2 linked regions of the Caenorhabditis elegans genome follow. The protein of the gene in region 2 interacts with the protein of the main gene of each other region in a biochemical or structural test. Each region holds a gene or a part of one and is shown on either strand. Other genes may lie near its edges. The genes, in order: nlp-17 and npr-43.

Region 1 (3,151 bases), on a different chromosome or scaffold from region 2:
TTCATGAGCAACTGAAGTGGCAACTCCGCCGAGCAGAAGCCAAGGACAACGGACTGTTTGGCCACCACGGATCTTTGTGCCTGCTTCGTCAGCTGCATCCTGGAATTTTTGAAGTTTTTCGTATTTGTTTTTGGCAGAAAATTTAATGCTCGAAACGTTTGAATTTAGGATTTTGTCGCCAAATACCCACGGGTTTCTGCACGGCCCGGCAAAGGGTACATCAGTGTAAACGCGCTCTACTGATAATTGCAGTTTAGCCAGGTTTGGGCGCGTTTTAAGGAAAAAAGCTTTGGTCCAAAAAATTTTGAATTTAATTTCGAACATTTTTTATATGCATCACAAAAAAACTGGACCAGTCGTTTTTGAGAAAAACGCGCCCAAACGTCCAGGTGTACGGTAGACAAATTGCGTACAGGTACCACTTCTCGGGCCGTGTTCTGGCTCGACCCCTCGGTGTATTTTGTGCAAACACCGTCACGCGCAAATGCATACACTATTTCAACGCGCTGCGTGAAAATTCCTCTTGCGATTTCAAATATTTTTTCCCGCCCTTTTGCAAAATTTTGGAGAGGGGGGTCTAGCCAGATACACGTGAATACCTAACGAGACCCAACTTTTTGGGGGTGGGATGTTTTGATCTATTTCAAATCGCGAATAATTTTTCTGCGTCTCCATAACAATCTCAACTGAAAACTACCTTGAATCCCTGAATAAACAACGGAACGACAATATCTCTCTGCTTCTCGTTCAAATCAATAGCCACTGCGAGCAGCATAAGCATATTATCACACTCGGAAACTCCCATTGCATACAAATCAGACAATACATTGGCACATGTTACACGTCCCATAATATATGGATCATCAATGAGTGGATAGAAGAAATCAGTGGTTTGTACGAGTCGAAGACCCGGATGACGGAGTGGAATTACGCAACTATCGAGACCAATGTCTGGAAGGGAATTTGAGTTTAAAAAAAAAATTATTTAAATAGAATAGAAGGCATTTCTGAATATCAGATATTATGGAAACACAAAATTCTGAGAATGCGTACTGCACAATATATTCGACGCGCAAAATATCTCGTAGCGGAAACTACATTAACTATTTAAATGACTACTGTAGCGCTTGTGTGTCGATTTACGGGCATTCATTCTAAAAATCGAGCCCGTGAATCGACACACAAGCGCTACAGTAGTTCATTTAAATAGTTACTGTAGTTTTCGCTACGAGATATTTTGTGCGTCAAATATGTTGTGCAGTACGCATTCTTGGAATTTTATGTTCCCGTAATAAATGTACATTCTGTTTTGATTTTCAAAGTTCAAAACGAAATTTGAATTTTTTCTGTTGGATGAGCTTCCTGTTTTGAGCAATTTTTCAATTAAACTCACCAACTTCATCATTATTAATGACTAAATCAGTTTTAAAAGTTTGGAGCAATTGAAGGAGCACATTCCTTGGAACTTTACACCCACAACCCTTCATTCCAGTCAACTTTGTGAGCACAAAATCTTCATCAAGTCCATTGCTCACCGGATCGAATCCCTCCAAAATTCTCTCGATTCGATTCATCTAAAATATATTTTCAAAACGATTTTCTGTGCAAAATTCCAAAAGGTGAACGATGAACGGAAAAAAAAACTTTGATGTTTCAAAAGTTTTCCTAATCTATATGTTTTTTCGCAGCCTATTATCTCAAAAACTTATTATTTATTTATTTATCTAGGTTATTACGGGAATGGATGAGGGGGTGACGTTTTTGAGTTTTTGAGTCGCACTTAATTAGAAAAGCTATATAATAACTCTAGATATAATTACTCGTCTCACTTAATAGCCTTGATAGCTCGCTATAATTGAAATATAAATAGTGAGATGAGCCATTTAAATCGACATTTCGAGACTTTTTTCTCGCGAAAAAGTCAGGCTTTTTCACAGAAAATATGTTCAGCAAGTCAATTCTCTTCTGCCTTTTGGTTTTGGTATTCAATGTTTTTGGAGCTAACTTTGAAAATGATCAGGAGTAAGTTTTACTTTTTTACGTGAAACTCGAGAATCTCTAATTTCCATTCTTTTTTTTAGTGTAATGCGTCCCCCATTCCAAGCCCTTAAACGTGGTAGTTTGTCAAACATGATGAGAATCGGAAAGCGACAAATGTCTCGACAACAGGAATACGTACAATTTCCAAATGAAGGTGTTGTGCCGTGTGAGAGCTGTAATTTGGGAACACTTATGAGAATTGGACGGAGATAAATGATAACGATTATTTGAATTTGAATTTGTTTAAATTTGCATTTCGTTTCGTTTTTCTCTCTCTTATAAACTGGTCCATTCTCTCGTTATTCATTATTTCTCAATCGTTTGATGAATGAATTCATTTGTTAAATTCTATTTTTAAGGGTGAATGATATTGCAGAATTTCTCACAGATAGCACGTGGTGCCAGGCTGCCTTGATCTACAAAAAATGCGGGAATTTTTCTTAGCCGTGCGACAACAGTTCGAAACTCTGCGTCTTGTTTCCCGCATTTTTTTTAGATCACACCGTAATGGGACACTCGGGGGAAAACGTTTTATTTAATCCCCGAAAAAAAAAATCATTTCTACAGTATTCAGAAATGTTGTTTTTTCTCATTTTTCGGGAATTTTTCCCATAAATTTCGAGCTTGATAATTGCCAAATTTCCAAAAATTTTCATTTGCCACACCACGTGGTGCCAGAGTGCCTTATTTCGCTTTGATCTACGTTGATCTACAAAAAATGCGGGAGAAGAGACGCAGAGTTCTCAACTGATTTCGCATGGTTAAGAAAGTGCTGACGTCACATTTTTTGGCAAAAAATTCCCGCATTTTTTGTAGATCAAACCGTAATGGGACAACCCGATTTTTTCGGTGGTTTCTTTTTTGAAAAATCGGAAAATTGAATTCTAAAAAGGGAATTTTTTGTTTATTTTAAAATAAAAATCTTTACCAAAAATGTGGTGGTTTTAATGAGAAAGAACCTGACCGGAAGCTATAAATGGTTATTTATAAATTTAAAAAAATTACGCTAACGGAATTGCACACCTGGAATCACTCCGGCCAGCGGAGCGCACTTGAACACCCCCGCTTTTCTCACTGGTTTTACTCCAGCTTGTATTCTTTAAGGGTGCCT
Region 2 (5,686 bases):
GTCTGAGTTGAGTTTGCTTATATTTTTCCAACAATGATTGTAAAAAGGAATGCGTGAAAAGACAGTTGCCGACTAGTCGCAACTGAGCAGACGGCTTCTCCGAAAGAATTTGTTTATAAGATCTGCAAGGTCAAATTGTAAGGATCATAAATTATCTGTTTCATTTTATTGTCAAATTTCGAGTAGAAGATTAGTGTGATTACAAGGATTCTATGGTAGAACAAACTAAAATAGGATCTGAAAAAGCCGGAGCGTAAATTAGTACATGGTAAAGTAATCTCGAACAAATTTCAATTTTATTTTTCAGATTTCAAATTGGTTCAAAAACCGTCGCCAACGGGACAAATCGAACAATTCAGCCAAATGCTCCCCACCTTCCAGCTCGAGCAGCACTAATGGTGGCAGTGACTTTCTTCCAATAATAACTCCGCAAAGCTTTAACTTGGCAGCTGCTCCATTCAATATGAACATGATCTATGGTACATTACGTGACAGTCAGTCTGATAATGATCAATTCACTTTCAATCCGTAATTTTTTTTAAAATAAAAGTAAAGTATTTACCCATTGTATATTTGAAATGCTTTAAAAGTGCAAAAAGAATAAACTGTTATTTTTAGAAGTTTGCCAGGCTATAATTTTTTTTTTGATATTTAAATCTGAATTCAAGAATCTGGAAAAATATCAGAATTTCAAGGTTTCTTGCAAGGTTTTTTGAAACACTGAAAAAATAAAAACAAATTTATTGAAACAAAAAACCGTAGCACATATTGCGGACATAAATAAATAGAGACAAAATGCAAGATCACAAATAACCCCGAAACAAAATATATTAGAACTTCGTAGATGTCGGATATTGGCATACTATATAATCTATCCAGTAAGTGAAGTGCTCAAAATCTCCTTCGCCTCCTTCTTCACAATTCGACACCGAATCCTTCGTTCCAGCCATCTGAAACACCTCAAAATCGGAGGATTTTTTAGAATCTCGGAGCTCAATGATACACTCACTTTTCGAATCGAACTTTGCCGAAATAGGCCAATGTGTTGGTTGCCGAGTTGAGAATGACAAGGAAGTCTGAGATTCGCGTGACTTTTGTCATGAATGGGCCGAAGTTTATACTGTTTTCAATGAGAACCTCGTAGAGATCAATCAATGTTGGCAGGGATCTGAAAATTGAAAATTTGAGCTACCAAGTTTTTATGTTATGTAACAAAATAATTAGTACTGTCTTGGCATTTGGCGATGATTTCTTGCTCAAGGTAAACACTTGGCATGACGTTTTTTGACCGCACTTCAAGTTCAGCCCAGGCTTGATTCAACTCTTGGCAATGCTTTCTAGGTTTAAACAACACAGAATAGTTCGGACAAAATATTGGAAATAGTTGGATCATATTTGAGTTAAACATAGAGTATGGTCTAAACAACGCACAGTTTCTACATCTCTTGCAAAAGCTTTGCCACCTTTTGAACCAAGTTCCCACTTTTGGGATCAAACTTGGAGTGGCCAAAAAAAGTTTGAAGTTCTAGCCTATACTCACCTCAAAATCAGAAATTTGACAACAATGAACACAGCTAACGCCTTCGATGCTTTATCCTTCAATTCCTCCGTCACCAGTGTGTTTCTACTTCTCTTCTGACTCTCAAAAAGCCTCCTCCGTTCCTTGACATTCTGATGCATTTTGTATTCAGTGAACAATGACAGCGTGGAGATGAAAAGCATTGGTCCCAATGTCTCTGTTGTCATGGTAAGGGCAACTTTGAATTGAAAATACTGAAACAATGGGATTTATAGAATAGAGTGAATAGATGGTTACGTACCCAATAAGAATCTCCTCTGAGTTGTGTCATCTGGAGCATTTTTGATTCAGTCTGATGAACTTCATCAAAGCATGTAATAAGGTTGAATTCAAAGTAGGAAGTGCTATGAATGACGAAGCAGAGGATTACCAGAAGGACTGAAAGTATTAAGTTCAATATTCAGAGAGAACAGAAATTTTAGTGAATTTTGTGAAATTATTTCAAAAATAATGTATTTTAAACTATCAATTAAGTATGCAACACTAGTTATTATGACGAAGAGTGGTCTAAAATTCGGGATTCTCCTTTTTGAATAATTCACTTTTCATTCCTTTTCCGAAACTTTCAAATTGTTGCCCTTTTCACATACTTGGAACTAGAAATGGTCTGAAGAATCTTCTGAAATTTGCTCCTCTTTTTCCAGCATTGCTTCTGGTGTGAAATTCATAGAACATTTCGGCTGGAAATGAAATTGTGAACTTTGCCGACTCTGTGGAAGATGGCTGAGCAGCTGTGCTCATTTTGCTTGCAGATATTGATTTTCTCTAAAAAATATGATTCCTTAAATTTGAAAACAAAATGTGTGTCACTACCGATCTTCCATAATGTGATGCAAATTTGAGTGGATTGTTGACAACTCTGTATCGGATGTATGTGATGTAGCAAACTAGCATCGGCTGAAAAATAAATCAAAAATTATTAAATTTCCTTTTAAATTTTGCATACCGATGACATGGCAAAGCTATTCCGTATTCCATACAGAATAAGAATCATATCCTGATGTTGGTAGAAGATATTGGTACGAAATAGGAGAATACTAAGAGGTTCAATGCTTAGGAAAAGAACGGTAGTCATCGTAAGCATAAAATCCATGAGACACAAAGTATATAAAGCTGCTGACATTCTTCTATTCAAGTGCCCATTTCGAAGGAATCCAATAGCATAGACAGTGCCAATGGCAGAGAAAATTGCAGCGGATATTGTGACGGGGCCCTGAAGAAATATAATGTATTTTTTGAATTAGTTCAAGCATTTTCTGAAAAGTATAGTACCACTGATTTCCGACGTCACATATCAATCCCTGGTTAGTTTTTTATTGTTCGAAGTCCCTAAAAAGCGTTTCCCCTAATCCGAAAGTCGTCAATTCTTTTCCAGAAACATCTATAGCTTTAGAAGGATTAAAACTTTTCCAAATTTAGACAGTCTAGAAAAAATTTGCAATATTAGTCGGCTGGAGGAACACAACATCATAATCTCCTGATCTAATGAGATTAAGGATAGAGGGAAATAAAAAATGATGACTGTTAAAAATAATGAATCAAATAAATGTATGTTTTGATGACGATCGAGAATTCTAGAGTCCAGTAACCAGAATTAGTCCAAAACCAGAATTATGAAATTTAAAAGTTTAAAATTTAAAGATTTCCGAAAAGTTAATGATTTCAAAAAAAAATCAAAGTTTGAAAATCAAAGAAAAATGAACCTTTCTAGTTCTATGGTATTTTAGAGTAACCACCAATTTTGAAACTAAAGTTCAAATAATTTTACATCAACAAGTACGACATATTGCTCAAAATATCAGAAATTGAATTGTCAGGTGCACTTAATTATACCCCAATGTTTGGTGGTTCTATAGTCTGAGCCTGCCTGCCTGCCTACCGCGATCAAATTTTTTATTGTCGAGTTACGCTACGGCAGCAGCCGGGAATTTTCCGGAATCGACCACCAAATATCCTATGCAATTTTGAAAGTTTACCAAAATTATTTTTTCAAATAATTTGTTTTTGAAAAAAACTAAAAGTGGCCCAAGCTAATTTTCTTTTTTTTTTAAATCTACACAACAAATACACATGTAAGTAAAAATATGTGTTAATTCAAAGAAATTTTACATATAAACTCACATCGAGCCATAATGTAAACTGTGGAGAATCATCTGATGCTCTGTATTGACATGAATAAAGTTTTGTAAACACCGTCCAATTATCATCTGTTTCATTCATTTGTGTATTGGACCTGAAAAGTCTAGTTAGAAATTGGCTTCAGGGACAGGTAAAGGGTACTACAAGGTAAATCACGTTGAAACGTTCAGAAATTCATGGGATATGTACATTGGTGGGGGAGACCGCGAAATGAGAGATTGAAGCACAAAAATTGAATGGCCCGAAAAATCAGAAGAAGAAGAAGACTGACAACAGTGAAATTTCATTGAAATGTTGCTTTTTTTCAGAAAGTTTGCGTAGCCATTTCCACGCTTCACATACATATAATGACAGATATATGAAGTGAAAAGAGTGGAAAATATCGAGAACAATTGTCACGTTCTGAAGAAAAGAAGAAAAGAAGGAAAAAGAAAATGATGAATAGGACGTCGGAAGCTGTTATGCATATAAAATTAAGAATAACGAAATGATAAATGAGGTAGAAAACTGTTGGAAAAGGGGCGGGCAGTTATTAGAGTGCATTTGTTGGAAGAAAAGTTGGAAGAAATCAAGAAATCAATCAACAGGCGGAGAATCTGAAGGTCTATCCGAGAGAGACATGTTTTTTTGGTTCTGAGACAACAATTTTCAATTGGTTGGGTTTATGGTTAGTCCAACTTAACTGTAATCAGAAAACTTTTGTGTCCTTTGACCTACAGAAGTAGAGGGTACGTAGAAAAATACGTGTGACATCACACTAATTCAAAGGATGAAACTTTCTTAATAAAAGTGAACTGCAAAGTCAGCGCAAAGTCGTATCGCCTCGAACTTGTGGAAAACTGCTGATGAGACAAGTGTTTTTATAAAGTTTTAGATCTGTAAGGCCTGGTGTGTGGCGGAGCCCGTAATTTCCAGGCCTAGAATCTCGATTTCTAAAAAATTTAACACCGTTAAAACCAGACTCAAAAAAAAACTTCCTTTTTTTTAAATAACCAGCTAAAATATTATAAGGATTACTGAAAGTATCATCCCAACGCCTTCACTAATAACATCAAATGTTCTCTGTCGGGATGAGCGCAGTAAACCAGACAAGATTGAAAAATAGAAGAACCAGAACCGGTGTGGATAAAAGAAAAACAAGATATGTATGTTTTTGTCATGAAAAGAAAGAAGAAAGTGTTCCTAAAATCCAGATTTCTATTGGAAAAACTGAACCCAGAACAACTACTATTTTGTTTTGAAACACGCGAATTGTGAAAAATTAATATGTTCTTCACCCTTCAACTGGAAAATTTCCAATTCCTTTTAGGCCTTCAAAGAAGTTCCAGGAAATTTATATGTAGGGTTCAACATCAATGAGCAGCTGAAGTTGAGCACGAGAATTATTTGAAATTATACCTTTTAAAAGTACACGTAACAGTCTATGCGGAAAGACAATTATCACCTGCCGATCAAATATTGAAAGACTTATAGTTCCGGAATAGAAGGTTCTTGTGGTGTTTGTACATTATTTTTTTTAGGAGAAATTCAATCAAGTCACACTGGCCCAAAATAGCTGGAAGAAAAATTCTGCAAGCTAATGAAAACCGCCGAAAGTATTTGTTTTAATCAAAACGCTTAATAATGTGCACATAAAGAACGTCCATGGCGACCCACTTGATCTCCAGGACTACAAGTCAGCTACATGTATGATTAATGAAGCCTCAAAACAAATCGCCTGAAACTTTTTGATCGAACGAGGGTGGAAAGTCTGTTAAGTCTTTTTTTGAACTCTTGAAATTGTAGCTTTTATTTTAGTTTTTTGGATTTTATGACAAATTTCTTAATCATTAGATCTCACTAGCACTCAATTCTAAATTTAGGCTTCTACACAAAGGTATGTAGGCACAAAATACTTAGCAGCCTTCAAGACCTACGCTTAATCCCTATTCAACCGATGAGATTGCACATATTTCTGAAAACGCGACC

What was found.
Region 1: the proteins of npr-43 (region 2) and nlp-17 interact in a test that uses a peptide from one of them, tested with the Caenorhabditis elegans proteins (one large-scale study listed by BioGRID).

Annotation. Positions count from the first base shown.
Region 1 is NC_003282.8:13,504,502-13,507,652, reverse strand, and holds nlp-17 (Neuropeptide-Like Protein), read left to right. Parts: upstream 1-1,910; 5' UTR 1,911-1,942; coding exon 1,943-2,022; intron 2,023-2,081; coding exon 2,082-2,253; 3' UTR 2,254-2,383; downstream 2,384-3,151. Other genes in the region: seld-1 (putative selenide, water dikinase), read right to left, coding at 1-99, 698-951, 1,394-1,574.
Region 2 is NC_003283.11:14,375,268-14,380,953, forward strand, and holds npr-43 (G-protein coupled receptors family 1 profile domain-containing protein), read right to left. Parts: upstream 3,820-5,686; 5' UTR 3,800-3,819; coding exon 3,701-3,799; intron 2,793-3,700; coding exon 2,526-2,792; intron 2,477-2,525; coding exon 2,393-2,476; intron 2,345-2,392; coding exon 2,170-2,344; intron 1,958-2,169; coding exon 1,821-1,957; intron 1,774-1,820; coding exon 1,541-1,773; intron 1,169-1,540; coding exon 1,010-1,168; intron 960-1,009; coding exon 872-959; 3' UTR 729-871; downstream 1-728. Other genes in the region: Homeobox protein unc-39, read left to right, coding at 308-532.